Linked DNA regions of Notamacropus eugenii. The protein of the gene in region 3 interacts with the protein of the main gene of each other region in a pairwise test. Links are inferred from orthologs where the notes say so. Each region holds a gene or a part of one and is shown on either strand. Other genes may lie near its edges.

Region 1 (7,721 bases), on a different chromosome or scaffold from region 3:
GAAATGAAGGACAAACAATGACAACAAACAACCACCACAATCTCTGACTCATACCGTCTAGCTGATCCTAGCAAGCCAGTTATATTTCTATTGGTTCTGGCTACTCTCAAAGACTATAACTTGCTGACCGGTTGCTGTGTTAGTAGAAGGAATTCCTTCCCTAGGAATTTCCTTCACTAATGAAACTAAAGGTTTAGTCAAACACACACATACATACATAGAAAACAACCATATAAGGTACTAAATGAAAGTTCTCATTCTCAAAAGGCTTACTTTCTACTAAGTGTGTGTCTCTCTGTACGTGTATTGGGGGAAGCAGGTAGAACTTGTACAAAGGGACCTTCAAATGTCAGGTATGAGCAACAGAAAGAAGGCAGGTGAGCTTGATCTCAGAGCTCTGGAAGTGGGAGTAAGTTCAAGTAATCCAAGATGGCCCTTGAAAGAAGCTATTGTTTTGATGAGGTAGAGAGGTGAGGCAGAAGCAGATTCCAGGCAAGCAGAGTAGTCTGTGCAAAGGCAAGAGATACTGGAGGTGGAATATTGAGTTCAGGGACCTGAATGGGCCAGTTTGGCTCAGATAGAGCACGTGAAAGGAAGAAATATGAAACAAATCTAGAAAGGCACATAGCCTTTCAATGTCCACCATGACCAGAGACTTCGTATTTTATCCTAGGGATAACAGGGAGCCACTGATAGGTCTAAAGCTTGACAGTGATGTGGTCAGTCTTGGAGAACATGATGCTGCTCAAGCGCAAGACACAGGGATCAGGAGGCACTTGACCATTTGCAGTTTCTCTTTTCTGGTGGCTACAGGGAAAGGAGGAGTTGGCTTATGGAATGATATCTCATTCCCATTCCCTTTGCTTTATAACCTGATTTGGTTTTTTTTAATAGTTTTTTTTCCTAACTACATGTAAAAGCAATTTTTAACATTTTTTAAAATAAAATTTTGAGCTCTAAATTTTCTCCCTACTTCCCTATTCTCCCCCCTCCCTAAAATGGTAAGCAATTTGATATAGATTATATATGCAATCATGTAAAACCTATTTTCATATTAGTCATATTGTGAAAGAAGAAACAATCTGTAAAAAAGTACACACACACAAGTGAAAATAGTATGCTTCTATCTCCATAGTTCTTTCTCTGGATATGGATAGCATTTTCCTTCCTTAGTCCTTTGGAATTGTCTTGGATCATTGTATTGCCAAGAAGAGCTAAGTCCATCACAGTTGATCATTCCACAATGTTGCTCTTACTGTGTACAACGTTCTCCTGGTTTTGTTCACTTTACTCAGCATCAGTTCAAGTAAGTCTTTCCAGGTTTTTCTGAAATCTGCCTGCTCATCATTTCCTATAGCACAATAGTATTCCATTACATTCATATACCACAGCTTGTTCAGCCATTCCCCAATTGATGGAAATCCTCTGAATTTCCAATTCTTTGCCATCACAAAAAGGGCTGCTATACATTTGTAAACATGGATCCTTTTTCCATTTTTATCTCTTTGGGATACAGACCTGGAAGTGGTACTGCTGGGTCAAAGGGTATGCACAGTTTTATAGCCCTTGAAGCATAGTTCCAAAGTGCTCTTCAGAAAGACTGGATCAGTTCACAACTCCACCAATAGTGCATTAGTGTTCCTTTTTCCCCATGACCTTTCCAACATTCATCATTTTCCTTTTCTGTCATATTAGCCAATCTGATAGGTGTGAGGTAGTACCTCAGAACTGTTTTAATTTGCATTTCTCTAATAATGATTTACAGCATTTTTATAGGACTACAGCTTTGATTTCTTCATCTGAAAACTGCCTGTTCATATCCTTTGACCACTTATCAATTGGAGAATGACTTGTATTTCTATAAATTTGACTCAGTTCTCTATGTATTTCAGAAATGAGCCTTTTTTCAGAAACACTTGCTGTAAAAATTGTTTCCCAGCTTTCTGCTTTCCTTCTAATCTTGCTTGCATTGGTTTTGTGCAAAACTTTTTAAATTTAATATAATCAAAATTATCCATTTTACATCTTGGAATGCTTTCTATTTCTTGTTTGTTCATAAGACCTGACAGGTAAACTATTCCCAGCTCTCCTAAATTGCTTATGGCATCACTCTTTATATCTAAATCATGTACCCATTTTGCTGGTCCCTGTTTTTTGAACAGTGAACTATAACCACAGGGAACTGGGATAAAACTGGACATAGGTCAAGTTATCTGGAACACTTAGATTACAGACAACCAGGCTGATGCTTTGTCCAGTTGAGGTGCTAGTTAGGGTAAGATCACTGTTATGCAAGTTTTAATTACTAGTTTGCAGGACAGAGGCACATAAATCATTAGCATGGGAGACTCCCAAGTCTGCATGCAAGTCCCTAGGCCTGCCTGAGAACTAGGGACTTGGATTCTTCAGGATTCATGGAACTGTTTAAGCCCCAGGACAGGGGTAAAGCATAAGTCTGGGAGTATCATAGAAAAAGGTGTAGTGTTACCTAGCAGCTTGATCTGTCAGGGGGAATGGAAATCCCAGGTGGGAAAGAGGAGTGTGAAACTGATCAAAGCAGGAATATATCATCACTGCAAGGCAGACATCATACAGAATCCTTGGAGCTGGGAAGCCTCTGCGCATCAGCCATCTCAGACCTCTTTGACTCTCTTGGAAAGGGAATATGTGTCTCACTGTCTGGATTCTTCTTGGATATATTCAGAGATGGAAACTCCACACCTTTCCATTATTTGCTCAGTCTAGTGTTTGTTTTCTCTCAATGAAAACAATGTAACTTCCTCCAGTTTTAAGACAATTTTCACTTGTTAAGGCTTCTGTGTATACAAAGATATGACCATGGGTTCCTGAAAGTATCATTAATCAACAAACAAGACTTTATTAAGCTCCTACTGTGTGTCAGGAGAGGCAGTATGGTGTAGTGGAGAGAGAACCACCTCAAAGACAGGAACAACTGGGTTCCAATTCTGCCTCTGATATACACTGGAAAGACAAGATTAGGCAGAGTCTGTCTGAGAAAGATCTAAGGGTTTTGGTGAACTACAAGCTCAGTGTCAATGACCAGCAGGCTAGCACCCTGAATTATTGGAGGCAATGGAGCCAGGAGAGACTGTGTCTGCAGTACTGGCACCACAATATAGGATGGATGATAAGCCGAAGAGTGTCCTGACAAGGGTTCCTTTAAGGTGTAATGAATAAAGTAATAATAAATTTAATAATATAAATAAAAAAATAAAAGGATGGCCATTTGGCCAGCTCTCTTAGACCAAAGATCCCTCATGGTGGTAGGCTCACAGTTTACATGCCCTTTGAAGAATCAGTGTTCTTGAGGGGGTGCCTAATCAGCTCTGTTTGGTTAACACAATGGGAGGTATGGGCTATATTAAAATGAAAATCTTGGGGGTAAAAGTTCACTCAAATCTTGGTCAAAGATATATCAATTTCCATATCACCTGTCTTGATAATAGGGGGACTCAACCTTTCCCTAGATCTGTCAGAGCAAACACAGTGAGCAAAAATGCATCTATCAGCCCAAACTTAGAATTTCTTTTACTGTCTGATTAAATCTTGGCCTCGGTAAATCTCTAAGAGGGATTTCCCACACTGGTTGGTTTCTGGATGAGGAAGTAGAAAAGGGGAAAAACCCTGGTCCTAATATAATAATTAAATATGAGAAATATTAATTTCTCACAGTCATGCTACACGTTGTAATGTTGATCAGCTTTGAAAAAGTTGGCCACTCTGATCATTACAATGTTCCAAGACAATTCCAAAGAATTCATGAAGAAAAATACTAACTCCAGAAAGAGAACTGATGAACTCTGAGGCAAATTGAAGTATAATTTTCTTGCTTTCTTTTTTTTTCCTTTTGTGATAAGGCTCATATGGAAAGGTTTGCATGATTTCAAACATATAATTGATATCATGATTGTCCTCCCAGTGAGTGGTAGAGGAGGTGGGAGTGAGATAATTTGGAACTCAAATTTTTTTAAATGTTTAAAATAGTAAAATAAAATGTTTTTTAAAAAGGAAAATGCCATATGAGGATAGACCGAAGGAATTAGAAGTGCTTAGACTATAGAAGACTGGGGGTGGGGTAGGGAGTTTTGGAAAGGGCTATCTCAAGGAATAAGGATTTGACTTTTCTTTTCCCTAAAAGGCAGAACTAGAAGCAGGGCGTAAAAGTTGCAAAGAGGTATATTAAGGCAAATGTAAAGAAAAATTTCATCACCACTAGGACTATACATTATGTAAACACATATATAAACATTAGAGCTGTCACAAAGTGGAATGGGGTGCGGGGAGGGGGCTCTGTAGGGAATAGAGTTCATCCCATCACTCCTCAAGCCCAGGCTGGATTTGAACTCAGGACTCTGTTAGGTCTCGCCCAGCTCTATCCTCTTCCTCCCCCACATAGACCATCACGCTCATCACCGTTTCCACTGCTCTGGAAGCACTTTAGAGTCTCTCGTTTGGTTCCCACAACCACGCTAGGAGGTTACTGCGCCCATTTGGTAGATGAAGAAACACGAAGCACGTAGAAGATGGGGTCAACCGACCGGGAAGGTTTTGGGATCCACGCCGCTCGTCTAGCCCCGCCCCCGGCCCCGCCCCCGTAGCCCTCCCCGCTCCCGGCGGCCGTTGTCCCGGTTGCCCCGGCGACGCGGCGGATGTGACGGCATGACGTCGGCGTGGGGACGCTCGGGCACTTCCGGCCGACGGCGGGCGGCGGCGGCGCTGGGGTCTGTAAGTGTGTGGGGCGGTGCGGAGGCAGCGGCCTCCTCGGCTCGCTCTCTCTCCCGCCCTCCCTTCTTCCCTGCCCCTCGGGCTCCCCCCGCCTGGGCCCCAGGCCCGGCCCAGTCCGGCGCGGTGGCCGGACCTCAGGTGCGGGCAGGCCGCGCGAGAGCGACCGACCGTACTGAACCAAGCCCGCCTCCCTCCTGCCCGCGGGCCTCGGGGGACGGGGGGAGGGGCGCAGCACCCGAGGCTTGGGCTGCGAGGGGGGCGTCTTGCTGCGAGACCTGGGCGGGTGGCTGCTCCTCTACGACCGTCGGTGTCCTTATCTCCCCAGCGAGGGGCTCGAGTTTCTCTCTGTGGCCCCTCCTTCCAGCCCTAGCCGCCCGTGGCCCCGTGGGCTGAGCAGGGGTGCTTGCGGGGGGGCCCGGAGGCTGGAATGGGAGCCAGAGATCCCCAAGGGCCCTGGGGTTCCCAACCCTGAACCACGCACTCCTTTCGGAAGGGATAGGTCCTTGCACCCATGCCGGGCGAGGACCGAGGAGGGGAGAAGTTACTCGTGAAATTCCTAACACCTGGGGCGGGGTGGGGAAGGGGCTGGGCCCGCTCCATGTGGACACCCCTCCCCCCCAAACAGTTTCCCTGCTCCCTTCCTGACGTGGTACTGATGAAGCATCTCCAAAGTTTTGCTCAGATCTGAGATTCTTGTTTGACTCCATAGTGGTTGGGTGTGTTATTCCATATTATCCTCTCACTCGTGAAATAGTTTATTCCTAAATTATGAAAGATATGATTCCAGCTTTCTTAGGAAATTTATTGTAGAATTAAAGGGATGACTAAACTGGACACTTTATTTGATCGTGGTGACTGATATTCACACCAGAGTTTGTATTTGACAGGGGCCAGTTAATTTTTCATTAGCTCTGCCTTATTCCACAGCGATGTACTGCACCACTAGCTGACTAGCTGTCTTTTATATGCACATTAATCAGAGCCTGTTGTCACTATTATGAAATTAAGTCATTCCTGTTTTATGAAGTGTGGCTTTAAGCATTGTTAGTTAGCTCCTTAATAGAGGTTTTCTCAGTTTGAAGTGAAAATGAGGTTTCATTTTTTGGGGGGGAGGGAGGAGCTGTAACTATGACCCTTTACATTTTGGGAGGACTGTGTGGCTTAAAGTAGGCAGGTCACTTAAACTCTCTGAAATCTTTGATCTGCAAAATTCAGGGAGTTGAACTACATGATTTCTACAGTCTTTTCCATTTCTAAAGCATCTGGGTCTATCAAAGGCAGATAGCAGCTCATTGTAATGAAGGATTTCCTAATAACCAGCTGTCCAGCAGTGGATTATGAGATAATTTTTACAGTTTGCGAATCCGTGAAACTGAAAGTAATGACATTCAGGATGTTATCTTTCTCTTCTTAGCTAGAGAAACAGATTTCCAGATGAGTGGAAAATACATGATTTTTCCAAAGAAGACCACTATGTGCTACATATTATATATACAGGAGCAAGTCTCTGTTTGGTCTCTATATAGTCCTTGGTAGTCCAAGATGGTGCAGCTAATTATGCTGCTGTTTGTGTAGACCTGAAGTGCCTAGTATGTTCGAGACAATAAAACAATCTCTCCCCTCAAGCTTATGTTCTATCTTCCAGCTTGTACACAGATAAGTGTAGAGGAAAATTGAGGAGGCAAAGAAATCCAGGGAGCAAAGGCATCATGGAAGGCTTCATGAGGAACTGGCGCATTAACTAAGTCTTGGAGAATGCCAAATTCTGAGGCAATGAATGCACAGAAGAGAGAAGGGATCAAGTGAAGGGAGCAACACTAGTTTGGCTAGAATGTAGAGTTCTTGAAAGGGTTTGTACAAAATAAAGCTGAGAAGGCTGGATGGGAGCAAGACTGTGGAGGGTATAAATGCCTGGCCAGAAGTTTGTGCTTTTGCCTATGGGCACTAGGAACCCCTAAGGTTTTTGAGCATGAAAGACACATGGTCAGATATTTGTCCTAGTTGTGATGAAGAAGCAGCAAATTTGTGACTTGTATATTTTTTCTGTGTGGACTACACAAGTATCATGGATCTCTACCCTCAGGTCCTGTCCTGCCTCCAGTTTGCAGGTTCTGTTATTGTTTATAACATAGCATCATTTCTGAAATTACTTAAGCTAAAAAGTAGGATTATGACTGTTGAGTACTTTGTAGTCTTTGAAGTTGTGTTTTAGATTGGAAAGGAATGTGACTACTTTAAAATAAACAAAGTATTCCATGTGCTTTGTTTTGTTTCATTAGTGGATACAGTACTGAAAGACTCAGGATATGATTTCTTCCCATGTCTAGTTTCTACTCAGATCCCTTCTGTCAGTATTGATTTTGTGTCTCTAGAACCTATCTATCCCAGGAGTACAGATTGCCCCTTGCAAGGTCTATGATAGACTGATGGCCTCCACTTGTTTACAAGGGGTGAATACAGCTACCATGTAGAGTGAAGTCCATATCCACTTAATAGTACTTTATACCAAGTAACAAGGCTCTGGTTTTTCTGTTTCCCACCTCCAGGTTTGCTCATCTTTTTTCCCTTCCTTGGAATTTGAGCCTCCTCCCAAGTTGGCTTAGTCTTTGAGCTGAAATCCAGCTACCTACTGTATCCCTTCAACCTTTTATGACTCCTGGCATTCACAGGGTTCTTTCCTCTTGATTCCTAGATCATGTATAGTTAATACCATTTATATGATACATGTCCTACAGCAAGTGCCCAGGGTGGTAGTGATTTGTGTGTGTCCTATCTCCTCAATGAGAGTGTTTAGATTGGGGTAGCATCAACAGTGGCTGAAATCGTACCTGGAGTATGATTTGGAAGTAGGGGCCAGACGGCCAGTTAGAAGGCATTTCTGTCACTGTGGAATGGAGCAGAGAGGGGCTCACTAAGCATTTGCTGAAACAAGGAAGGTAGTTGCATATTCTTTGTCCTCCCTGAGTTTACCTCAG
Region 2 (7,366 bases), about 350 Mb from region 3:
CCCCTCCTAGGTTTCTCTCCCCTACTCCTATGAGGACTTCCAAATGTCTTGCCCTGTTTTTGGAACAGATAACCCCACACCTCAATCCTGGGAAACAGAGGGGAAAGGCTAAAGGACAGAAGAGTTCATTTGAACCTAGGGCAAGATGAAAAGAAAGGAGAGAAACACAGAGAGTGAGATATCAGAAAAAGGGGGAAGATGGAGACGAGGGAAAAGGAGAATGGAGAAGAGGTAGAAGAGATGGGAGGAGACAGGGGAGGAGGAAAAGAGGAGGAGAAGGGAAGTTCCTTAGGGCAGGGATTGTTTTTGTCTCTGAATCTCCATTGCCCAGGACATACTATATACAAGAAGGAAGGACTTGGAAGAGAAGATGGGAATGGAAAAGGGAGAGAAGAAATAGGCAAGATGAGAAAATAGAAAAGGGGGAGAAAAGTTGAAAGGAGGTAGAATGAAGAGAGAAAAAGTCACAGAACCTCATAGCAGAAAGGGACCTTAGAAGTGATCAAGCCAAACCTTTATTTAAAGAGGAATCCCCCTTTTGACACCTCTAACAAAGGATGATTCAGACTTTAAAGATATCTCCCTCTAGAAGGGGAAATCATCCCTCCCAAGGCATCCCATTTCGTTTTTTTGTCATCACCCTCCCTCCCCCATTATAACCATCTCTCTCATCTCCCCTGTCCACTGAAGAAAAACAAAACCCTTGTAACAAATATTAATAATTGAGCAAAACCAATTCCCACATTAGACATGCTTCAACACTGGTCTTCTAGAATGTGGAATCATGGTTGGCCATCAGAGTTCTTTAGTCTTTCAAAGTTACTTGTCTTTACAACGTTGTTATTACTGGATACATTGTTCTCTCAGTTCCATTCATTTCACTCTGCATCAGTTCAAACAGGTCTTACCAGGTATCTCTGAAACCTTCCCCTTTATAATTTCTCCAACAGGCAGGCACACATTTCCAGTTCTTTGCCACGCCAAAAATTACTGCTATAAATATTTTTGCATAGAAGCTTATTTTATTTGGGGGATAGTTCTAATTGTTACGATTGTATTGAGTGGAGATACCTACATGATTTATAACTTTGCAATTTCCATCTACTCATCTCAAATCTGCCTCAAGAGAGCCCTTCAAATACTTGGAAGACATTTATGTCTTCCATTGCTCTTCTCATATCTTGGTATGACACTGGGAAAGTTTTAACTTCTCTAAGCTTTATTTTCCTGATTAATAAAATGAGGATAGTATTTACATCAGAAGATTGTTTTAAGGATCAAATGAGTCTAAAGAACCTTATAAACTTTGAAGTATTAGATAAATCTAAGCTCTTACTGTTATCATTACCTGTAACATTGATTTTTTGAACCTAAGTGTAGAACTTTGCATTCATCTCATTGTCACAACCATCATTTTTTAAAAGTCACAACTAAATTAATGCCAGTTACATTGCTTTACATGAAAAACTTACAATGATTTCTCAATGTATACTCCCCACTTTTTGATACAAGTATGACTGCCCAGTGTTCTAACTTGTCAATATATTTTTGGATCATGCTTCTGTCATCCAGTGGGTTGTTTTGTGCCCTCTGAAAATGTGATAAACATGAAATCTATGCCTTTATCTGGATCATTAAAATATAAAGGAGCACAGGCTGAAGCAGACTCCTTACTCTACTAGACAGTCACGAGAGAACTTCCTATTGATGTTAAAATGGTTTGATGTCAAATCATTGGTGGCCGCTCTATTCAACCAGTTCCAAATTGATCTAATCATATTACCATCTAGTCCACAAGGACTTTGCCAAATGCTGTGCTATTTATCCAGAGCATTCTTCTGATCCTACCAGTTCAATAGCTCTGGTCAGAAAGGGAAATGTGGTGAGTCAGGTCATCATTGTAGTGTGGTTCTTTGTAATGCCTGACCACTTCCTTTTCTAGGTGAACAGGTTCTAGAATTTTACTAAGAATCAAAATCAAGTTCAGTGGCCTATAGTTTGGAGGTTTCATTATCCATTCAACTATTTCAAAAAATACTGTCAAAATATAGGTCCTTAACCCTGCTCATAGTTTCAAGGACCTATTGAAATACCACCTAGAAGTTTTCCCTCATCTCTTCCTTCCTTTCCTCTTTCCCCTAGCTGTATGTGCTCTCTTTTTCTTCCCCAGAGTACAGAGTCTCATCTTTCTTCAGATAGAGGCAGGACCTTTAAAGTCCTTTCCAAGTCTGGACTTTGAGTCTGAGTCATCCCCTTTTCCTGGGATTTATTCCATCTGAGACAACAGGGTCTGATTCCTGTGTCCCCCAGAGCACAAAGAACTAGATGGAAAGGAAAGGAAAGGAGGAAGGGAAAGGAAAGGAGACCACAGGGAGTAGGATCACAGAGTTTTGAGTGGGAAGGAATCTTAGAGGTCTCATTTGACAAGAGAGGAAACTGAAGTTCAGAGGTGTGGGGAGGAAAACCAGAATGGAGGGAAATAAGAGAAAAAGGGAGTGAAAAAAAACTTTTAGAGGGAGGAAAGGAAAAAAGAGAAAAGACTGTCATCTACTTTGTCTGCTTTATTTCATACTCCCTTTCAGTTATCTTCCCACTGACTGGTTCCTGGGCATCTCCCTCCCTCCAGACTATGTCCCAGGCTTGGCATCCTATAACTTTTTGGTCTCAGGCCCCTCCTACACTCTTAAAAACTATTGTGGGCCTTTCCTCCCACCTCAGCTTTTGTTTATGTGGGTTAGAGTTATCAATATTTACCTTTTTGAGAAATTAAGTTTTAGTATGATTATGAAAATAGTTTTGTCTCTTGGACTCATCAAAGCGTCTCAGAGACCCTAAGGACATCCCCGCCCTACTATATTTGAGAACCCCTATTCTAAGGGGGAGGAGTTGGGTGCTTCCTCTGTTAGGGAGCCTTCTGCGATAATGCCCCTTCGTTGCCAGCACTCTCTCCTCCCTCCAGTTGTCCAGGACTTGCTTCTTCAGGGCACTTTCAATGTGGTCCCTCGTGCCCATCCCGCCTTGGTTGGCAAGCTCCTTTAGGGACCGTTTCACACATTTGCCCCGGCTGGGTACAAAGCCCTGCACGCAGCGAGTGGCTACTGTAAAGGCTTGGTGAGCTGCATCGCCTGGCATTGCCTGGCATTGCCCTGAATTTCGGGGGAGGGCGGCCGGGCTGAAGGACAGACGGACAGACGCACACACACACGCAGCCAGCCCGGATTGTAAAGAACAGTGTAAGCTGTGCTTTTATTAAAATGTGCATCATTCTTTTATTTTAAAATGTGCATCATTGTCTCGTGCTCGGCGCGCGCGACCTCAGCGCGGTGTCCCCGCGGCCGGCCCCGCCCCTGCCCGGCCCCCTCGGAGCCGTCGCGCAGGCGCACTCAGGTGGCGCGGGCCCGGGGGCTTCCGCCCATTGCCAGGTAGACGTCGATGGGCACGTGCAGCAGCGTCAGGCAGTGGCAGCCAGGGCAGCGTCGCAGTGGCCTGCTGGGGAGGGAGGCGAAGGGGGGAGGGGGCGCACAAGTTGGGGGTTAGAACCTCCCGGCCCAGGCAGAGGTCCAGTACGGCTGCACTTGGAGTCGGGAGCTCCCAGTTCGAATCCCGGTCCTATGCCTGGCCCTTCCCTGGGTCTCAGTTTTCACACTTGCCAAATAGGGACGGGGCACGGGTGACACCTGAATGCTTTCCCCCTCCCCCCCAGCTCTAAGTCCTATGCCGGGATGGCCCGGGGAGGGGGCGAGAAGGAAGACACGGGTCGGACCGCGCCCTGGGCGCCCCTCTAGCCCTCACCTGACCGGGGTGTGCTCTGTAGCAACGGGCTCCGCGCTGTCCTGGGGCTCGGGGGTTGCGGCCAGGCCGGGGGAGTCTCCGGCCTCAATGGGGAATCTCCGACCTTGCGGGGGCTCCTGGGCGCTCATGTCCGGGCCCCGGGAAGCTCTGCGGGGAGCAAGGCTGCGCTCAGCTCCAGCCCCGGACCTCCGTCCCCGGCCCCGCGCTCGTCCCCGCCCGCTCCGGCCTGGGATCCTCACCTGCTGGAGGCCGGAGCCGGTCCCAGGCGGGAAACAGCTGCCCGAGCCCTGGCCGCGGGAGGACGCTCTGGTCCAGGGGTAGCCGGGCAGGTGTCTGGGGCAGCGGGGCGGGGCGCGCGGCGGGACCGGGCCGTCGAGGGCGCGGGCTGCATTGTGACCCACGGGGCGGGCGCGCTGACCTCACAGTGGCGGGGGGCCGCGGCCCGCCCCGGGCCCGTTCCTCCGGGCGGGGAACCCTCACTGCTCGGGCGGGACTGCGCGGGTCGGGCCGCCACTTCGGGCGGGCCCCGGCGGGTCGTGGCGGGAGGGCCGCGGGGCCCCGGGGGCGGCCGGCCCGGGACTGTGCACGCTGCGGGGGCGCCGGGCGGCGTCCAGGTCGGGCATAGACGTTCCCGCGGCGCGGGTCGGCGCGGCCGGACTCCGCTCGGTCTCGGCCCCGCTGGACGGCGGCAGCCCGCGATCTTGCTCTTGCAGGCGCCCACCGAGGCACGGGCTGGCCCAGCCGCAGCTCTCCGCTGGCCGGGCGATGGTGACAATGCCAGGGCCGAGGGGCGGGCGAGGGGGGCACTGCCCATTTTGGTAGCCGGGGCAGCACCGCCCCCCCCACCCCCGGGTCACTTGTGCCACATCAGTTTACATCACAATCGGGGCCCGAGTTTAAAACTGTCCGGCCCCCGCCCCCTCCCCCACCCGCGGCTGTGTCCGGACGGAGAATGTTCTAGCGCTGGGGGCGGCTGCGGATGAAGTCCTGGGGGGGAGAGGCGCGGGCCGACGGCGATGGTGGAGTAGAGCTGCCTCGCAGAGGCAGGATGAGCTGAGGCGGTGACGGGGAAGGAAGGAGGAGAGACAGCATGGAGGACTTTCTGCTCTCCAATGGATACCAGCTGGGCAAGACCATTGGGGAAGGGACCTATTCAAAAGTGAAGGAAGCATTTTCCAAAAAACATCAAAGAAAAGTGGCAGTTAAAATTATAGACAAGATGGGAGGGCCAGAAGGTGAGAACGGGCCTTCTCTCCTTCACCTGAGCCTGTCGGAGCACCCCCCACCTTGGAGAGCGGGCGAGGGGAGGGGGGCCCCGCACTCTGATCCTCCAGCCTGGGCAGGGATGGGAGGGGGCGGCCCCCTCTTCTGGGGAGGAGGAAGGACGTGCACAAAATTGGAGGAGGGCAGCCTGGGGAGCTGGCTCCTTTCCTACAGCTCTTCTGCTCATGCACGTGTTGGCCGGAGGCTCCGGCGTTATGGACGTTGCAACTTGGCTCTTCCAAGGTGGCAGCTCCCCTCGCTCCTTGGTGCATCCCATCAGGTGTGTCGAGATCATGGCCAAGGGGCCCTGTGCTCTAAAGGGTCCTAGAAGCAGAGGTACCCTCAGCCCGAGGAGGGGGAGGAGGACAAGGCCAGCTTAATGGAAAACAATGGGACTGGGCACTTGGTCCTGAAGCAACGATAAGCGATAGTGTGTGTATAACCTTGGGTTTGGTCTACTGTCTCCTTCAAGTTTCCCCATCTATGAAATTGGGCTAATGCCACCACTTTACATTTATATAGGACCTTGCGGTCGGGTTCTAAAGTGCTTTCCAGGGCCAAGGTCCCTCCAGGCTGATCCTCCTAACCACCTTGTAAGGTAGGAAGTGCAGGCACTCATAGAGATGGACCCCCCCTCTTGATTTTACTGATGAGAAACAGACTCCCAGAGAGGGGAAGTAGTTTGTCAAGCCACACAGCTAGTTCTAGGGAAGAGTTGGGACTACTGCAGGACTATCTGCTCCATGCTGCTTTCCTGGAGGCATAAAATGGGAGTTGCAAGAAGCTCCCATTTTGTTGATTAAGAAATTTGCGCCTTAGAGAGGCTGTGTAACTCCTAGGTCCTCCCCACTGATGTACACGTGAGAGGACTTTGGAAAGCTGAAGCAGTGGTTGAACCAGGGGAAGGCCAGCTATGAAGAGAGCCCATCTCTAGGCCAAGCACAGTATGAAGTTGGGGCGGCAGCACCACAGGGATTGCATGTCCATGTCCTGTGTGTTTCACTGTCTGATCGTGCTGCTGCCCCTTTACTTTCTTCTCTCTCGTTTCCCACAGAATTTATCCAGAGGTTCCTGCCGCGCGAGCTCCAGATCGTCCGCAGCCTGGATCATAAGAACATCATCCAGGTGTATGAGATGCTGGAGTCGGCCGACGGTAAGACCTACTTGGTGATGGAGCTGGCTGAGGGGGGAGATGTCTTTGACTGCGTGCTGCACGGTGGGCCTCTGCCAGAGAGCCGGGCCAAGGCCCTCTTCCGCCAGCTGGTGGAGGCCATCCGCTATTGCCACGGCTGTGGCGTGGCCCACCGAGACCTGAAATGTGAGAATGCCCTGCTGCAGGGCTACAACCTGAAGCTGACTGACTTCGGCTTTGCCAAGGTACTGCCCAAGACACGGCGGGAGCTGAGCCAGACCTTCTGTGGCAGCACAGCTTACGCTGCCCCAGAGGTGCTGCAGGGCATCCCCCACGACAGCAAAAAGGGCGATGTCTGGAGCATGGGCGTGGTCCTCTATGTCATGCTGTGCGCCAGCCTGCCCTTCGATGACACAGATATCCCCAAGATGCTGTGGCAGCAGCAGAAGGGGGTGTCCTTCCCCGGGCACCTGGGCATCTCGGCTGAATGCCAGGACCTGCTCAAGAGGCTCCTAGAACCAGACATGATCCTCCGGCCTTCAATCGAAGAAGTTAGTTGGCATCCATGGCTAGCAAACACTTGATAAAAGCAATAGCAAGTCCTCCCCAATAAAGCAGGGGAGAAAGAAAACCCAAAGTCTGCTTCTGAAATGGTGATGTATATTTTACACTTTACACTTGCCTACCCTATAAACTCGTCCCCCCTCCCCTTTCTCTTTTCCCTTAAAAGACCTTCATGGAACCAAGGGCTTCATTCAGACTTCCCATTTATCATGCCTGATGGGAATTTTTATACAACAGGTGTTTAACTAAAGTAAATTAAAATAGACCCCAGAAGCACACACCTGGGGGAGGAGGAGGAGAAAAGTTACCAGGAGAACTATGGGATCTACACCGCTGTTGCAACTTCCTTTCCAAATAAAAGCAGAAGCATTGGGAATAATGCCGAAAAGGCCTCGACTCCTTGTCTCAGTGAGGGCCAGGCGTCTGCCTCGTGGGCAGCATGTCCAATGGGCCCTTTCCAGGTGTCTGCCTCTTGGGCCCTTTCATGCAGGGTCCCCATGCCAGGGTACTGAATTGCCCCAAAACTGAGTGCAAGGGGTGACAGGGACTCTGCTCCAACCACAATGCCCATACCCTGGCCAGGACCACTAAGGGGTAAGGGGGACAAGAACAAAG
Region 3 (7,359 bases):
GTGACTTTAGGCAGTTCATTTCTCATTGCTCCAGAAATCTCTGGAAAAATACGAGGGGAGGAGGAAGCTGAGGTCTAGACTCGGTCCCACAGCTCAAGGCTCAGCCCTCTTCCCACTGCACCATGCTAGATCAGCTGTGAAGGGCATTCCTCACACTGATGAAATCACAAGATTTTTACAAAACACTCTCCTCTCCCTAAAAACAATAAACTTTACATATTGGCATTGGTCCTAATTTTATACCCATAGAGCAAGGTAATGATGCTACAAGAAAGAGGACAAAGGTTTTCATTTACTGATAATAATCAAGAGGCTTAATCTACTGGCCATTATATGTGGAAGGCTTACTTCCACACCTTAATAATTCATATTTAGTGTGTTATTTTCCCCTGTTTTACAGATGAGAAAAATCAGGCTCGTCATACTAGCTAATAAGCATTGGAGGTAGGAACCAGGTATCCTGATTCCAAGTTCAATATTCTCTCTACTAAGTCACAGTGTCTTTATCCAAAATATGAATTTTATAAATATTACCAAAAATATAAAGAAGTACACAGCAGTACACTTAATAACAGGACAGAAAGACGAAAATTCAATTACATTGAAATAGTGAACACACAACAAAAATGTTAGATTGTGAACTCCTTAAAGGCAGGGACTGCCTTTTTCCTCTTTGTGTATCCCCAGCACTTAGCACAGTGCCTGGAACATAAGAAGTATGTACTTAATAAATGTTTACTGACTGTCTAACTATTTGGAATGATTCATTCCCCGAACTATTGGACAAGTAACCTTCCATTTCCAAGTCCCACAATAAAATCCTGCTGGCCTCAAGCAAAAAGTTAATAACTGAAATGTCTTTTAAAAAATCAAATTTACTACAGGCTTTCAGATTAAAAAAAAAATTTCATCTTGACCCACAACACTTTCCCTTTCCACATATTATAACATCTGTAAATGCTAGACTAGGCCTAGAGGACCCCTAAAATAACTTCATGTTATTATCTTTGGAGGATGGTGTTGTCCATTTTTATCACAATGACATTTTAGACCCAAGATCTTTTTTCATGCTCTGGTCTTTTATTATTGAAATAGATGTTTTAATTAATTAGACTGAAATGAAGGCCCATGAAGTTTTCAGGATGTCATTTTATATACACAGAGGATCCAAGAAGATAATGGATTACAAAGGACAGAACCAGATATGTGCGTAAAGGCAAATATTTAACAATATTAGTCTACCCAGGGGGTACAACACACTGTCCATAAACCATAAATCTGAATGTTTCAAGATGAAACCTTTCTAACATAAGTTTTTTATAAAGTAGCTTATACGTGCCTTTTTTTCTGTTACTAGATGGTTGACCATTACCAGAAGAAAAAGTTCAAGAACAAACTCTTCTGTGGAGGAAAAATAAAAAGGATAGAGGATAAGAAAGAAAAAAGGGAGATGGAAGGGAAGAGAGGAGGAAGAGGATGGAAAAGAGCAGGGAGAAGATAGGGAGGCAGAGGGGAGGGAAGAGTGGGAAAGGGGAGAAAGGGAAAGGAGAGAGGAAAGAAAAAGAAGAGAGGAGAGGTGAGATAGGGAGAGGGAGACCAAGGAAAAGAGGAAGGAAGGAAGGAAGGAAGGAAGGAAGGAAGGAAGGAAGGAAGGAAGGAAGGAAGGAAGAAGGAAGGGGAAAGAAAAAGAGGAGAGGAAGAAAGAGAAAGAGGAAGGGAGGGAGAAAGGGAAAACGGAAGAAAGGAAGAATGGGAGGAAAGGAGGGTAGAGGAAGGGATAAAGGGGAAGGAAAAAGAGGAGAGGGCAAAAGGGAAAGAGGGAAGAAGGAAAAAAGAAGGGAGAGAGGAAAAAAGGAAGGAAAAAAGGAAGGAGGAAATGAAGAAAAGAAGGGAGGAAAGATGGGAGAAAAGGAGGATGGGAGGAAGGGAGGAAAGAAAACAGGAAGGATGGGAGAAAAGGAAGGTGAGAGAAAGGGAGAAAAGGGAAGGGAAAAGAAGAAGAGAAGGAGAAAGGGAAAGAGGAAGGAAGAAAGTAAGGATGGATGGATGGGAGAAAAGGAGGATAGTAGGAAGAACAGGAGAAAGGGAAGGTGGAGGAAGGAAGAAAGGGGAAGAGGAAAGGAGGGAAGAAAGAATGAAGGAAAAAAGAAGGAAGGAAAGGAGGGAAGGAAGAAAGGAAGGAAGGATGGGAGAAAGGGAGAATGGGAGGAAGGGAGGGAGAAAGGGGAAGGAAAGAGAGGAAGAGATGGAGAAAGGGAAAGAGGAAGGAAGGAGGGAAGGAAGGAAAGAAGGAAGGAAGGAGAGAAGGAAGGAAGGAAGGAAGGAAGGAAGGAAGGAAGGAAGGAAGGAAGGAAGGAAGGAAGGAAGGAAGGAAGGAAGGAAGGAAGGAAAGAAGGAAGGAAGGAGAGAAGGAAGGAAGGAAGGAAGGAAGGAAGGAAGGAAGGAAGGAAGGAAGGAAGGAAGGAAGGAAGGAAGGAAGGAGGACAAAGTACTTTTTCATTCCTCTTATGTTAATGTATACAGCCGTGACTTGCACAGATGGCACAGAGAGGTGGGGGGCAGGGCTGCTCGGGCATGGGGCGAGCCCACCAACACAAGGGTGGCGGTAGGCTTTACGTGTGCCCCTGCTGACTTTCTCTCACCACGTCGCATTACACACCTAAATCACGTTGGTTCCCTCTGCCCTGGGGGCGCTGCGGCGTTGTGAGACACAAGGAGAGAAACTGAGAGATATTCAAACAACCAAAACCAGCCAACACGCCCCTCTGCCCACGCACTCGGCTGGCAGTGCGCCCGCTCCGAAGAGCGGGGCGGCGGCAGGGCAGCTCGGGGTGGGTGTCCCCCGGAGCATTAAACCGCTCCTGGGGGTGGGCGTTAAGGAGCAGCTGCAGGAAGCCCGCGGTCGTCGCCGGCGTGGGTGCCCTCCAGTGCCCGGCTCCTCTCCGCAGCATGCCCAGCCGGGCCTGTGCCCCTTCTTCCCCAGCCAGCTTTACTCACGTTCTTGTTGAAGGTATATCCCGGCAGCAGCGGAAGGGACATGGTGCGGGGTCCGGGCAGGGCCGAGAGGACGCTGCCGAGAGGCTCCCCCGGAGGCAGAGAGTGCTTAGCGTCCCGTTGCCTAGAGACCGCCTCTGACGTCACCGGGCTGAAGGGGGCGTGGCCTCTTTGGGGAGATTGGTCCCTGACTCCCGGACATGGGCAGGGCTCGGAGGGATTCGTGCCCTTCTGACCCATGCCAGCCTTCCAAAGTTCACTCCGCACTGACTTTCCCAGCTGTGTGTCCCTTCTCCATGTTTGCAAATGAAGCCATACAGATGTGCTCTTTGTAAACCTTAAAATGTGTAAATGTTACTATGTATCACATGATGTGTCAATGTCTGTTGTAATTGTAGAGTTCATTTATTGCCATTATTATCTTATCTTACTCATTCCAGCAACAGTATTCCTCCTAAACATGCGAACGCATCCAGGCTTTCTATCCACCCACCTATGCTCTATAATATAAGCTCTTGGCTCTTAGTAGATGCTTGTTGACGCTTTTCTATTAATTTTCTCCATTTTATCCTGGAGATAGCTTGATTGTACATAGCTGTTTGCATATCGTCTTTTTCCATTAGACTGTGAGCTGGAGAGCATGGATAGTCTTTTACCTTGTAAAAGGTATCTCTTACAACGTATCTAGGGCATTGAGTGCAGTACTTGATACATAATAGAGTTTTTATTGACTGACTCGACTCACACAAACGTGTAGGAAGATTCCCAACTTGTACTTGCACAGACCTGCGTCCTGTGATCACAGGAATATCATGTTTCATCTACACAAAACTGCTACATATTTAATAAATCCACTCGTGGTCACTTTGGAGTTCCAGTCCCAACTATCTCTATTGGATTCTTCCTACTGGAGCTCTCACAGACTGCTCAAACTCAAAATGTCCTATACAGAATTTATCTTTCTCCTCAAACCACCCTTCTTTCTAAATTAGTTCAGAATCATCTTTGACCCTTCGCAGACCTTCCCCCTCCTCCTATATCCAATCAGTTGCCAAGTCCTATGATCTTGTGTTCCCTTTCTCTCCTTCCATATGGTCATTACCATATGGAATCCATCATTACCTTTCACCTGGATTATTTTAATTGCCCCCTGATTGATCTCAAGTCTCCACCTTCTCCAATTCACCATCCACACATTGGCCAAAGTATCCTAAACCAGGAATATAATCATGTTACTCTCCTGTGCAAAGAATTCTAATTCCCCCCGTTGCCTCTAAGATAAAATAACTTGTACACTGGTATTGATAGCCATTTATAATCTTACTCCCATCTACTTTTCTAGGTACTTTTCTACCTTGTTGTCCATTACTCTCCTTTATGCCCTCTGTCTTCCAGTCAAACTGACCTCTTTGCTCCCACTTTCTACCTTTTATAAAAAATATTTTTTCAATTTTGTGTAAAAATTTTTAACATTCATTTTTTAAAATATTGAGTTCCAAATTCTCTCCCACCATACCCTCAACCCTCACTGAAAAGGTGAGCAATTTGATATAGGTTACATATATACATGCAAAAGATATTTCCATATTAATCATGTTGTGAAAGAAAACACAGCTTCTCTTTCCCTCCGAAAAAAACAAGAAAAATATAAAAAATATTTTTTAAGTATACTTAAATCTGTCTTCAGACCTCATCAGTTCTTTCTCCAGAGGTAAATAGCATTTTTTCATCATAAATTCTTTGGAATTGTCTTGGATCATTGTATAGCTGAGAATAGCTAAGTCATTCACTGTTGTTCATCATGCAATATTGCTGTTAGTGTGCACAGTGTTCTCTTGTTTCTGCTCACTTCATTTAGTACCAATTAATGTAAATCTTTCCAGGTTTTGCTGAAAGCATCTTGCTCACAATTTCATATGGTTCAATGGTATTCCATCAAAATTCTCTACCACAACTTCTTCAGCCATTCTCCAATTGATACGCATACCCTCAATTTCCAATTCTTTGCCATCACAATAAGAGGGACTGTATTTTGATACATAGAGGTCCTTATAAAATAAATCTCTTTGGGATATAGACCTAGAAGTGGTATTGCTGAGTCAAAAGGTATGCACAGTGTTATAGTCCTTTGAGTGTAATACCAAATTACTCTACAGAATGGTTGGATCAGCTCATGACTGCACCAAGAGTTCATTAGTGTCCCAATTTTTCCACATCCCCTCCAACATTTGTCATTTTTCTTTTCTCTCAAATTAGCCGATCTGACAGGTATTACTCAATACCTCAGAGCTGTTCTAATGTGCATTCCTCTAATCAGTAGTGATTTAGAGAATTTTTTCACATGACTAAAAATAGCTTTGATTTCTTCATTTGAAAACTGCCTGTTCACATACCACCTTCTGCCATTTATCAGTTGAGGAATGACTTTTATTCTTAAATATTTGACTCATTTCTCTTATATGTGAGAGATGAGGCCTTTATCAGAGAAAATTGCTATAAAAATATTTTTTTTTGCTTTCCTTCTAATCTTGACTACATTGGTTTCATTTGCACAAAAAAGCTTTTAATTTAATATAATCTAAAGTATCCATTTTACATCCTGTAATATTCTCTATCTCTTGATAGGTAATATAATTCTTTCTTTATCCATAGATCTAACAGGAAACCATTCCATGCTCCTCTCATTTGCTTATGGTATCACCTTCATGTCTAACTCATGTACACATTTTGATCTTATCTTGGTACAGAAGTTCCCAAAGTTACTTGGTCTTTCAAAAAAAAATTACAAAGTGCCCCCCTGGCAATCTACTTTCTTTAATCCTTTCATGGTTTGTTGAGTTTTTCCTACTATTGTTTTTAAATTTTCATCATTTCAAAAAATACCTCCCTCTGGATTCAGGGGACAGTATTGCCCACTTTGGGGACCTATGGACAGCATTAAATGTCATTCTTTACCTACTTTCTGTCAAACTTCTTTCCAGTCTTCCCAACAGTGTTTTTTTTTCCAAATAGTGAGTTTTTCTCCCCAAAGCTTGGATCTTTGCATTTATCAAACATTAGATTCCTATGGTCATTTACTACTGTGTATTGTGTACCTAGTCTATTCCACTGATCCACCAGTCTATTTCTCAATCAGTATCATATTGTTTTGATAATTACTTCTTTGCAATACAGTTTCAGATCTAGCATGGCTAGGCTGTCCTCCATTTATTTTCATTAAAATACCTTAATATTCCTGACATTTTGTTCTTCCAGATGCATTTTGCAATTATTTTTTCTAGCTCTATTAAATAGTTTTTGGTAGCTTGATTGGCATGCAGCTGAATAAGTGAATGAATTTAGGTAGAATTGTCATTTTTTATATTGACTCAACCTACTCAAGCAATTAATATTTTTCTTGTTTATATCTGGCTCTATTTGTGTAAAAAGTATTTTGTCATTGTGTTCTTACAATCCCTGAGTTTGTCTTGTCAGGCAGACTCCCAAGTATTTTATATTGCCTATAATTATTTTAATTGGAATTTCTCTTTCTATGTCTTGCTGCTGGACTTTGTTGGTAATATATAGAAATGCTGATGACTTATATGAGTTTATTTTATATCCTGCTACTTTGGTAAAGTTGTTCATTGTTTCAACTAGTTTTTTTATTATTAATTCACTAGGACTTTCTAAGTTTGCCATCACATTATCTGCAAAGAGGTATACTTTTGTTTCCCCATTGTCTGTTTCTATTCCTTCAATTTCTTTTTCTTCTCTTATTGCTATAGCTAGCATTTCTGTAACAGTAACGAATAACAATGCTGATACTAGGCATCCTTGCTTCACTCCTGATTTTCAGAGAAGACTTCTAACTTAATCCCTGTTATAAATAATACTTACTGATGATTTTAGACACTAATTTTCATTTTAATCTAAACTCCATCTATTCCTGTGCTTCCTAGTGTTTTTAATAAGAATGAGTATTGTATTTATCAAAAGGTTTTTCTGCATCTATAGAGATAATCATATGATCTTTGTTGGTTTTGTTATTGATACGGTCAATTACACTGATCATTTTCCTAATATTGAACCACTCCTGCATTTCTGGTATAAATCCTGCTTGCTCATAATGATATGTTGTGATATAATGCTATAATCTGCTTTCTAGTATTTTATTTAAAATTTTTACATCAATATTCCTTAGGAAAATTGGTCTATAGTTTTCTTTCTCTGTTTTTGCCCTTCCTGGTTTAGGTATCAGTATCATCTTTCTGCTGTAAAAAGAATTTGATAGGATTCCTTCTTTGCTGATTTTTCTAAATAGTTTATATAGCATTGGAATTAATTGTTCTTTAAATATTTGATATAATTCACTTGTGAATCCAT
Region 4 (7,302 bases), on a different chromosome or scaffold from region 3:
CTTCCAAAACCTGGCAAATCTCTACCTTCCCTGTCTTATCTCATTCCTCACCTCCACACATTATACTCCAAAGGGATCTATGCTGCCTCCCCAAAACCTGACATGCCCTCCCACCTCTGCCCTTTCTCAATGTTTCTTGTGGCTGGATTCTCTTCCTTCCTCATCAGACATCCTATCTATCCCTCAAGCCCAGCTCAAATGGCACTTTCGCCATGAAGAAGCCTTTCCTGATACTCCTGAGTCAAGGGTCTCACAGAACTTTGTTCTGCTTCTCTTTAATACGTTTATTATGTAGAAGTAGGCCTGCATATGTGTCCAATATCCTAGTACACCATACTTTCGGCAAAGGCAGTGACAAGCACTTAAATGTTGGTGAATTGAATTCGACGAACTCACCTTCACACTCCCCTCCCCCAGGACACATCGTGACCCACCTGGGAACAGCCTATCCACCCCAGGGCACAATCTGCCCAGCCTGAAGACTCACCTTCATCCTGAGCAGGACACGTGTTTTTGATGAAAGCTGAGAACTTGTGGAAGACATCGTTACCGGCTATGTTAGATTCCTTATAGAGAGGAACCAGGCTAGGGTAGCTGAAGGATGAAGACAGTGTCAAGAAACAAATGGGAGACCCCATGGCTCCTTCCTGGGGCCATAAGCACTTTCACCTGGTGGTGGTGGTGGTGTTCTCCCTCCCTTTCTCCCATCAGCATCCCCCTGTTATCAAACCTCAAATATACTCCCCTCCTCTCTTTATGCTGCCTAAGTTATTTTTAAATCACTTAGCATGTTGCCTGATATATAGTAGGTGCTATATAAATAATTATTCCCTTACCCTGCCCTTCCCTTCAGCCGCAGAGGAAAACTAGAGAAAACAGACTTGTGGGAAAGATAAGAATTGCCCCTCATCCCCGGTCCTGGTTGGGGTCATCCAACAAGCAATTTCTATTTTCCCATTCAGACTTCCCTTTTAGACATGGGAGAGCATGGGAAATCTCCCCTTCACCTCTCCAAAACATACCTCCTTCACCTGCTGCCAATGCCTATGACTCCCCCCTTGGGATTCCCCAAGAGGAATAGAGCTATCTTCCATGACTACAGGATTTGTCCTTTATTAAAGGACAAGACCCTCATTGGTATGATTAGACAGTGACTCAATGCTGTCCTCAGTAAAGAATCTGCCTTGGAAAAAATATGATCAGATCCCTCCCTGAGAGTAGATCTGAATGGGAAGAGGAACCAGAATTGGGGTAATAAATAGAAAGCAGCACTTTACTATAAAGCGAAGAGTACAGGGGACCTGAATTCAAATTCAGATTCTTCCACTAACCACCCACGTGACCTCGGGTAAGTCTCTTCTTCTTGCTGACCCCTGCTTTACTTCTCTGTAACAGAAGTGAGTCAGACTATATGATCAGTTAGATATATCCAGCTCTAACCCTCTCTGACAGCTGCTCCATTGCTCATTGATCCTGCTTCCTGGCTGTGCCCTCATACCCACCACTTGGACTCTTACGTGGGTGGCCCCAATGCCTCTTCCAGGAACTCTTCAATCTGGATGGTATCTGTCTTGGCTTCCCCATCACACAGCAGAATGGGCAGCTGGGAGCCAGGGGCAAAGTCCTTCAGCACATCCAAGGACCTGTAATGGGGTAGGGCCAAATCTTTGGCACAGGGAAAGTGAGCATGATGGGGACCAGGACACAGGACAGGTAGCCTCAGGTAGAAACAGGCTAAGATGGTGGGAAAGGTGGGGTATAGTTTTCCTCACCCCCAGTTCTAGTCAGTCACTCAGTCTTTACCTCTTGGTGTCCACAGTGGTGAGAGTGAAGGGGACACCTTTGAGCAGCAGGATCATGAAGAGCCGGTGGCAGGAGGGACAGTTCCCTACACTCTCACCATCTTCACTGGCCTAGGGGGAGGCAGAAGAGAATTTACATAAGCCTCCGGGAGAGGAAAAGGGTGGCAAGATTTGTATCCAGTTTGGTGAGAGAGAATGCAGGAAACCAGGTCAACTCTGGCCATTGGCAGGGGACATGTTTCCAGGCCTAAGCAGTGCCCCTCACCCACATCTTTTAAAAGAGGTTCAGGGGTGAGGACAGCCTCTCAAAATCAACAGGGCTGGGTGGGGCTTCTTTCAAGGGGGAGGTGAGAGCCCTTAAGGGGTAGGAAGAATAACAGTCTGTGCGACTTGGAGCCTGGCACTGTGCCCACATGGGCTGTCATGGCGCCAGGGAAAGGGCCACACCCCAGGGGGGGACACAACACTGACACCAAGGAAATGGGCACATGCTGTTTCCCCATCAACTGTAGGCCCCTGGGCATCATCTCAGTGTCACCAGGCAGACGGGCTGTACAGGGTGGGGCCCAGTCCAACTCTGACCAAACTGTTTTTTCAATGATTCACCTTATGGCATTGGGCACTGCCAGTGGAACATTATGGGAAGAGCACGCCCACTGATGCCCACAGTGGAGTAAAGCCTAGAAGCAGGAGCCTTCAACCTAGGATGCTTGGCCCAGATTCTGAGGATGTGGTACTCCTGCATTCCACCTTGTCCCTATCCTCTGTTGTGTCTACCCTGCCCTGAAGTTCATGCCAGGGTCTGCAAGTGATGGTGGACACCTTCTAGGATCACCTGCTGTAGCATAATTCCTTTATCTTGGGTACAGGGTGGACACAAATCCATGTGGCATCTTCTTTGTGCCAACCATCACAGAATACTCCCACCCACCCCTGGTGAAGGCCACAGCCTTGGTCTGGGTATCTAGCAGGAAGGCTTCTTCCTATATATAGAGTATTAGTCCTGCTGCTTTACCCAGTCAGAAGGATAATTGTGCCCTGGAGGCAGTGAGAGTTGGACAGGAGTTTGAGCCAGGGTCCTGATCAAGGTCCCCCCATGGGGGGTAGATAGAACTGAGATCCAGACTCCTGGGTTCTGTCGTCTTCTTTCACTCATTTTTTTCTCAGAAGGTGTGTGGCTATGGGGACAAAGTATCTCTCTTCAAAAAGCTGATACCACTTGGTTTTAATCCTGCCTTTGGCAGAAACAGTCTCCAATGCATCTGCTCCCAAGTCCTTCTCCCAGTTTTCTCCTTCCCTTCGATCCCATCCACCATCCTAATTCTAGCCAAACCCCGATGTCCTGGACAAGCTACTTTGAACCCTAGGCTAGAGAACCAGTGCTCTGGATGTGAAAGTTGGTCATTTGTGGGGCTGCCCTGTCTATTGGGAGAGACTGGAGCCTCAGACTTCTGGGATCATGGTTATCTACCCGACTGTGGACTCCCTGGAGGCTCTCTTTCCATTACCCCACAGCTTGTCAGGGTCCACTCTGATTTCTTTGGGGAGGAAAAGAGGGAAGGGGGTAGAAAAGTGGAGAAGGAATAGGGAGATGGTGGGAGGCGGGGAGACTCAGCCACTCCTTCCAAAGACTCTGCACCTGGCAGAAAGTAGTTCCCACTGTCCTCTGTTCCCAGATCCCTCTCCCTGACCTTCATCCTCCTCATCTCAACCTTCTTAAAACTCTCTCAAAGCATTCATTTCCGTTTTCAAACCACCACAACACCTCCCTTCTTTTCTACCCCTACCCCCCCCTCCCAGCTCTGTTTCGAATCGGGACAGAAAACTACAGTTCCCACATTCAGACAGCCCTCCTGGAGTCTCACTCACACCCCTGTTCCCTGGACACTGTTTCCTTCTCCCTCCGACCCCCCACCCCCGATCCCGCTTCCCCTCCTCCCTGGGATGGGTCCCCGGCACCTTGACAAACAGCTGCAGCTGCGGGTTCTGGGCCATGGTGTCCGGCAGGATAGAAGCAGCCGCCCTGGGTGGAGACTGTGTTTTGGGCTCTTTAAAGCTCCCGGGTTGCTCCGCCCTACCCTACCCCGCCCAGAAGAGCAGCTCAGTGTGCTAGAGTCTGTGTAAGACCGGGTGCCTGACCCTGTGGGGGAGGATTGTGAGCCCGGGAAGGGGGGGGCGAGATTGCCCAGTTGTGGGATTCCAGGGTGACTTCGAGTCTATGGCTACTGTAAAGAGCACGCAAGGGACTGGGACCTGGGCTGGTGGCTACCAGCCAGCGGGCAAAGAAAGGAGACCAATTCTGCAATTCCAGCACCGGGCGGGTGGGGCCTTGAGAGACTGCGTGTCATTGCTGGGAGGTGGAGAGTGTGCCTGTGACTGGGTCACTGACTTTGTAAGGGGGATCGGGGTGAGTGGTGGCAGGTACAGGTACAAGAGGTGAAAAGGCTCAGCGCTTTGGGAGTGATGAGTAGGTGACCCTATTCCATTTCTAGGACCAGAGAGAGAGAGAGAATGGAAGAAAGCGGAGTCAGGGCAGCCCTCAACTACCTTCCCCCCAACTCAATCTGAACACCCAGAGTGGGAATTGGCAAGGACTTGGAAAGTCAGACTTCCCTCACTGCCTCTCATCCCAAGCAGGCACTCCTCCAAAAAGCTGCCTTTCTGTGGTGTCCAGTCTTCCCGGGGTCAGGCCTGCCTTAGGTGGGGCCCCTCCTCTGAGGTGTGGCAGGTACATTCCTGGCATGCTCATAGTGGGGTGGGCAGAGGGGAAGTCGGATCAACTCTTGGATTTGGGACTTTCATCCTCCATCTCCAGTTGTCCATCCTCCCACACACAGAAGGGTTCTGTGTTCTTAACCTCCCCAGGAACTGATTTCTCCAGCTCCCACTCCTACACACACACACACACACACACACACACACACACACACACACACACACGCACACACACACACAGAGCAGCATCTTTGACTGATTTGATATTTTCCCTTTTTATTTAAAACAAACATCTTTCCCGATCTGCTTCCCCAACTATGTACAAGCCCAGTCCCTCACCTGCCCTCAGGCAGGGCTAGGGATGGGATGAGGAGGGGAAGGGATGGGCAAATAGCTGGGAAGTGGCCATGGCAGTTTGCTCTCAGGAAGGAGTGGGGCCCATGTGACCCCCACACTGTCCATGCCATTACCAAGCCTCTCCCTCCCCCGTCCCTAATGTAACAAAAGGTGATTGGAGGCCATTCAGAGGCAAAGGTCAAGCTCTTTAGACACCAGGTCCTTCCACCCTCTTCCTTTGCCCACAGCCTTCAGGGTTCCTGGGTGCACAGGCCCTGTAAAGGAACAGGAACTGAAGGATGCAGAGAATGCTGCTTTCAGCCTTGGAAAGGGGAGTTCCCCTCCTTTTATTTCCCCTACAGTTGTATCCAAGCTGCCAATGTGTCATTCTACCATCTGTGTACACACTTTCCCTCCATCTTCCCCACCCCTGACAAGTGCTTCTTCCTATTGCAAAATAAATAGGTTAAAAAGAAAACAACAAACCCAACATCCCACTTAACCCTGGCCAGAGTCAATGACTTGGGCCATGGTGGTTGGGCAGGCTAGCGGGCAGCCCATTTGGTATCCAGCACTGGAGCCTCTGGGTGGTGGCGGCATGGCAGCTATGGCAGCATTAGCAGAGGTGTTATTAAAATCCAGGGGGCAGAAGAGTCGAATTTAGGGGGAAAGCAGTTATCTGTCCATAACCCCAGCGTGTGCGCACATACACACACACACACACACACACACGCACACACACACACACACCACACACCCCTCCTACCCAGATGCCTGATGAGCCAAGAAAGTATTGTGTTACACAGGTCCATCAGGATCATGTTCTAGAGGGTTAAGACCACAGAGGAGACTCATGCCCCTCTTCCTCCACACAGCTTTCACGTTTTTCAAGCCTTCATGTTAACCTCCAGGTATATTTCCTGGGCTGTCAAAGTTCAGTCTTTTTGTGGCCATCAGTGCCAGTGGGGATTCTAACCACACGCGAGATGAGTGGCACTGACCATCAGAAGCAGAGCCAAGCAGGCCAGGCTGAGATCAGGGATAGGACTATCAGAGTCCAGGGAAGTGAGCAGAGTAACTGGCCAGAGCTGCTGTGACTGTAAGGCAGAGCCACATGAGTGCCCAGCCCACACCCTGGGGCACAGCAGGACTGTCCCTTTGGCACAATCATTGGTTGGAGATCCTGAAGATCACCAGGCAGGTTGGTCCTGGAGGGGCACTGGCTGGGCCAGAGAAGGGGAAAGAGTGGGTATGGTTTTTAGTATTCACTCCAGATTGGGGTACCTGGGCTATAATGTAGTTAGAAGATTCCCCATCTCTAAATCTGAGGTCTACCAGAGTGAAGAACTGCCCTTGCTATCAGATCCAAGCCTTTTCCCCACCCTCCAAAGCTCCTTTAGGATCCTGGGGTGGGTTCTTGTGCCTAGCTCTTGGCACTGTCCACACCCACCAATCTCCCCAACTCTACCGCCCTCTAAAACTAGCTCCAAGTTCCAGGCACTGAATTCAAGTTGCACGATATATCACCAATTCCTTCTCCCAACCCTCCTGGGTGGGGGAGCTGGGTGGGTAGGCAATGCTAAGACCTCCCTCCCAATTGTCTGGCATTGAATCTCTGTCCCAGCCAAAACAGGCCAGGGAAGGTAGGGCTGCTCTAAGGAGGTTTGAGCATAAGGGGACAAGAAAGTTGGTTATCCAGGAATGGAGAGCTGAGGCCTCTGAAGTTCCTTCAGCAGAGAGTGTCTGTATTGAAAGAAAGCTGGGCCTGTTGGGAAGAGACAACAGGGTTCGGATGGTCAGACTTCCAGGCTTGATTTGAGTCTTTCCCTCTCACTTCCTCCTCTGTCACTTTCTGTTAAATTGTCATCAAATCAGCCTATTTGTCTCTCATTCTCTATCTCTGTCTCCCTTGATCTTGGAGTCCAAAGACCTCTGTTTTTGAACATGATTTAAGCTATGACTTTGGATCTCTCTTAGCCTCTCTATCATTCTCTATCCCTGGGTCTCTGTCCCTCTGTCCCTTTCACCATCTCTGTCTCTAGGTGGATTGAATGCATCAGGCAGAAGAGAAGATAGGGAGGGAGAGGCCTCAAGGGGCTGTTACTATAGTAACTACTAGATTCTGCCCTTGGCCCTGAGCCCCAGACTCTGGGGGTTAGAGTGCCCATAGCAATGTGAACCCCACCCACGGCACACTTGCCAAAAAGCCCAAGCCTCACCCTCTCCTCCTCGAAACTGATAAGCCCCTCATCATCCGTATCGAGGTCCTCCGGTTCATCTGTTACCAGAGCACGGAGCTCTGTGGGTGCAGGACGGGGTCGGAGCAGACTGAGCAGCCGAGCCAGCGGGGACTGCAGTGCACAACCTGGCTCTGTCTCTTGGGGCTCCAAGTTATCACTTTGCTTCTTGGCAAAGTTCACGAATACCTGGGGTGGGCAGGAAAAGCAGA

The links.
Region 1: the proteins of EFHC2 (region 3) and EDC3 interact in binary tests that used the Homo sapiens proteins (3 or more experiments, as listed by UniProt). The link is inferred for Notamacropus eugenii from reciprocal best matches to the Homo sapiens genes EFHC2 and EDC3.
Region 2: the proteins of EFHC2 (region 3) and TSSK3 interact in binary tests that used the Homo sapiens proteins (3 or more experiments, as listed by UniProt). The two-hybrid records come from large-scale screens. The link is inferred for Notamacropus eugenii from reciprocal best matches to the Homo sapiens genes EFHC2 and TSSK3.
Region 4: the proteins of EFHC2 (region 3) and CLIC3 interact in binary tests that used the Homo sapiens proteins (3 or more experiments, as listed by UniProt). The two-hybrid records come from large-scale screens. The link is inferred for Notamacropus eugenii from reciprocal best matches to the Homo sapiens genes EFHC2 and CLIC3.

Annotation. Positions count from the first base shown.
Region 1 is NC_092872.1:241,459,097-241,466,817, forward strand, and holds the start of EDC3 (enhancer of mRNA-decapping protein 3), read left to right. Parts: upstream 1-4,660; 5' UTR 4,661-4,742; exon of another isoform or gene 4,743-4,746; intron 4,747-5,468; exon of another isoform or gene 5,469-7,721. UniProt on the Homo sapiens protein: Binds single-stranded RNA. Involved in the process of mRNA degradation and in the positive regulation of mRNA decapping. May play a role in spermiogenesis and oogenesis.
Region 2 is NC_092876.1:77,515,243-77,522,608, reverse strand, and holds TSSK3 (testis-specific serine/threonine-protein kinase 3), read left to right. Parts: upstream 1-4,771; 5' UTR 4,772-4,882; coding exon 4,883-5,027; intron 5,028-6,109; coding exon 6,110-6,771; 3' UTR 6,772-6,824; downstream 6,825-7,366. Other genes in the region: protein FAM229A, read right to left, coding at 3,384-3,489, 3,793-3,939, 4,032-4,183. UniProt on the Homo sapiens protein: Serine/threonine protein kinase required for spermatid development and male fertility.
Region 3 is NC_092876.1:429,907,951-429,915,309, reverse strand, and holds the start of EFHC2 (EF-hand domain-containing family member C2), read right to left. Parts: upstream 3,119-7,359; 5' UTR 3,040-3,118; coding exon 2,998-3,039; intron 1-2,997. UniProt on the Homo sapiens protein: Microtubule inner protein (MIP) part of the dynein-decorated doublet microtubules (DMTs) in cilia axoneme, which is required for motile cilia beating.
Region 4 is NC_092872.1:493,021,207-493,028,508, forward strand, and holds the start of CLIC3 (chloride intracellular channel protein 3), read right to left. Parts: upstream 3,092-7,302; 5' UTR 2,959-3,091; coding exon 2,818-2,958; intron 1,914-2,817; coding exon 1,804-1,913; intron 1,644-1,803; coding exon 1,518-1,643; intron 595-1,517; coding exon 488-594; intron 1-487. Other genes in the region: ABCA2 (ATP-binding cassette sub-family A member 2), read right to left, coding at 6,583-6,618, 7,073-7,279. UniProt on the Homo sapiens protein: In the soluble state, catalyzes glutaredoxin-like thiol disulfide exchange reactions with reduced glutathione as electron donor.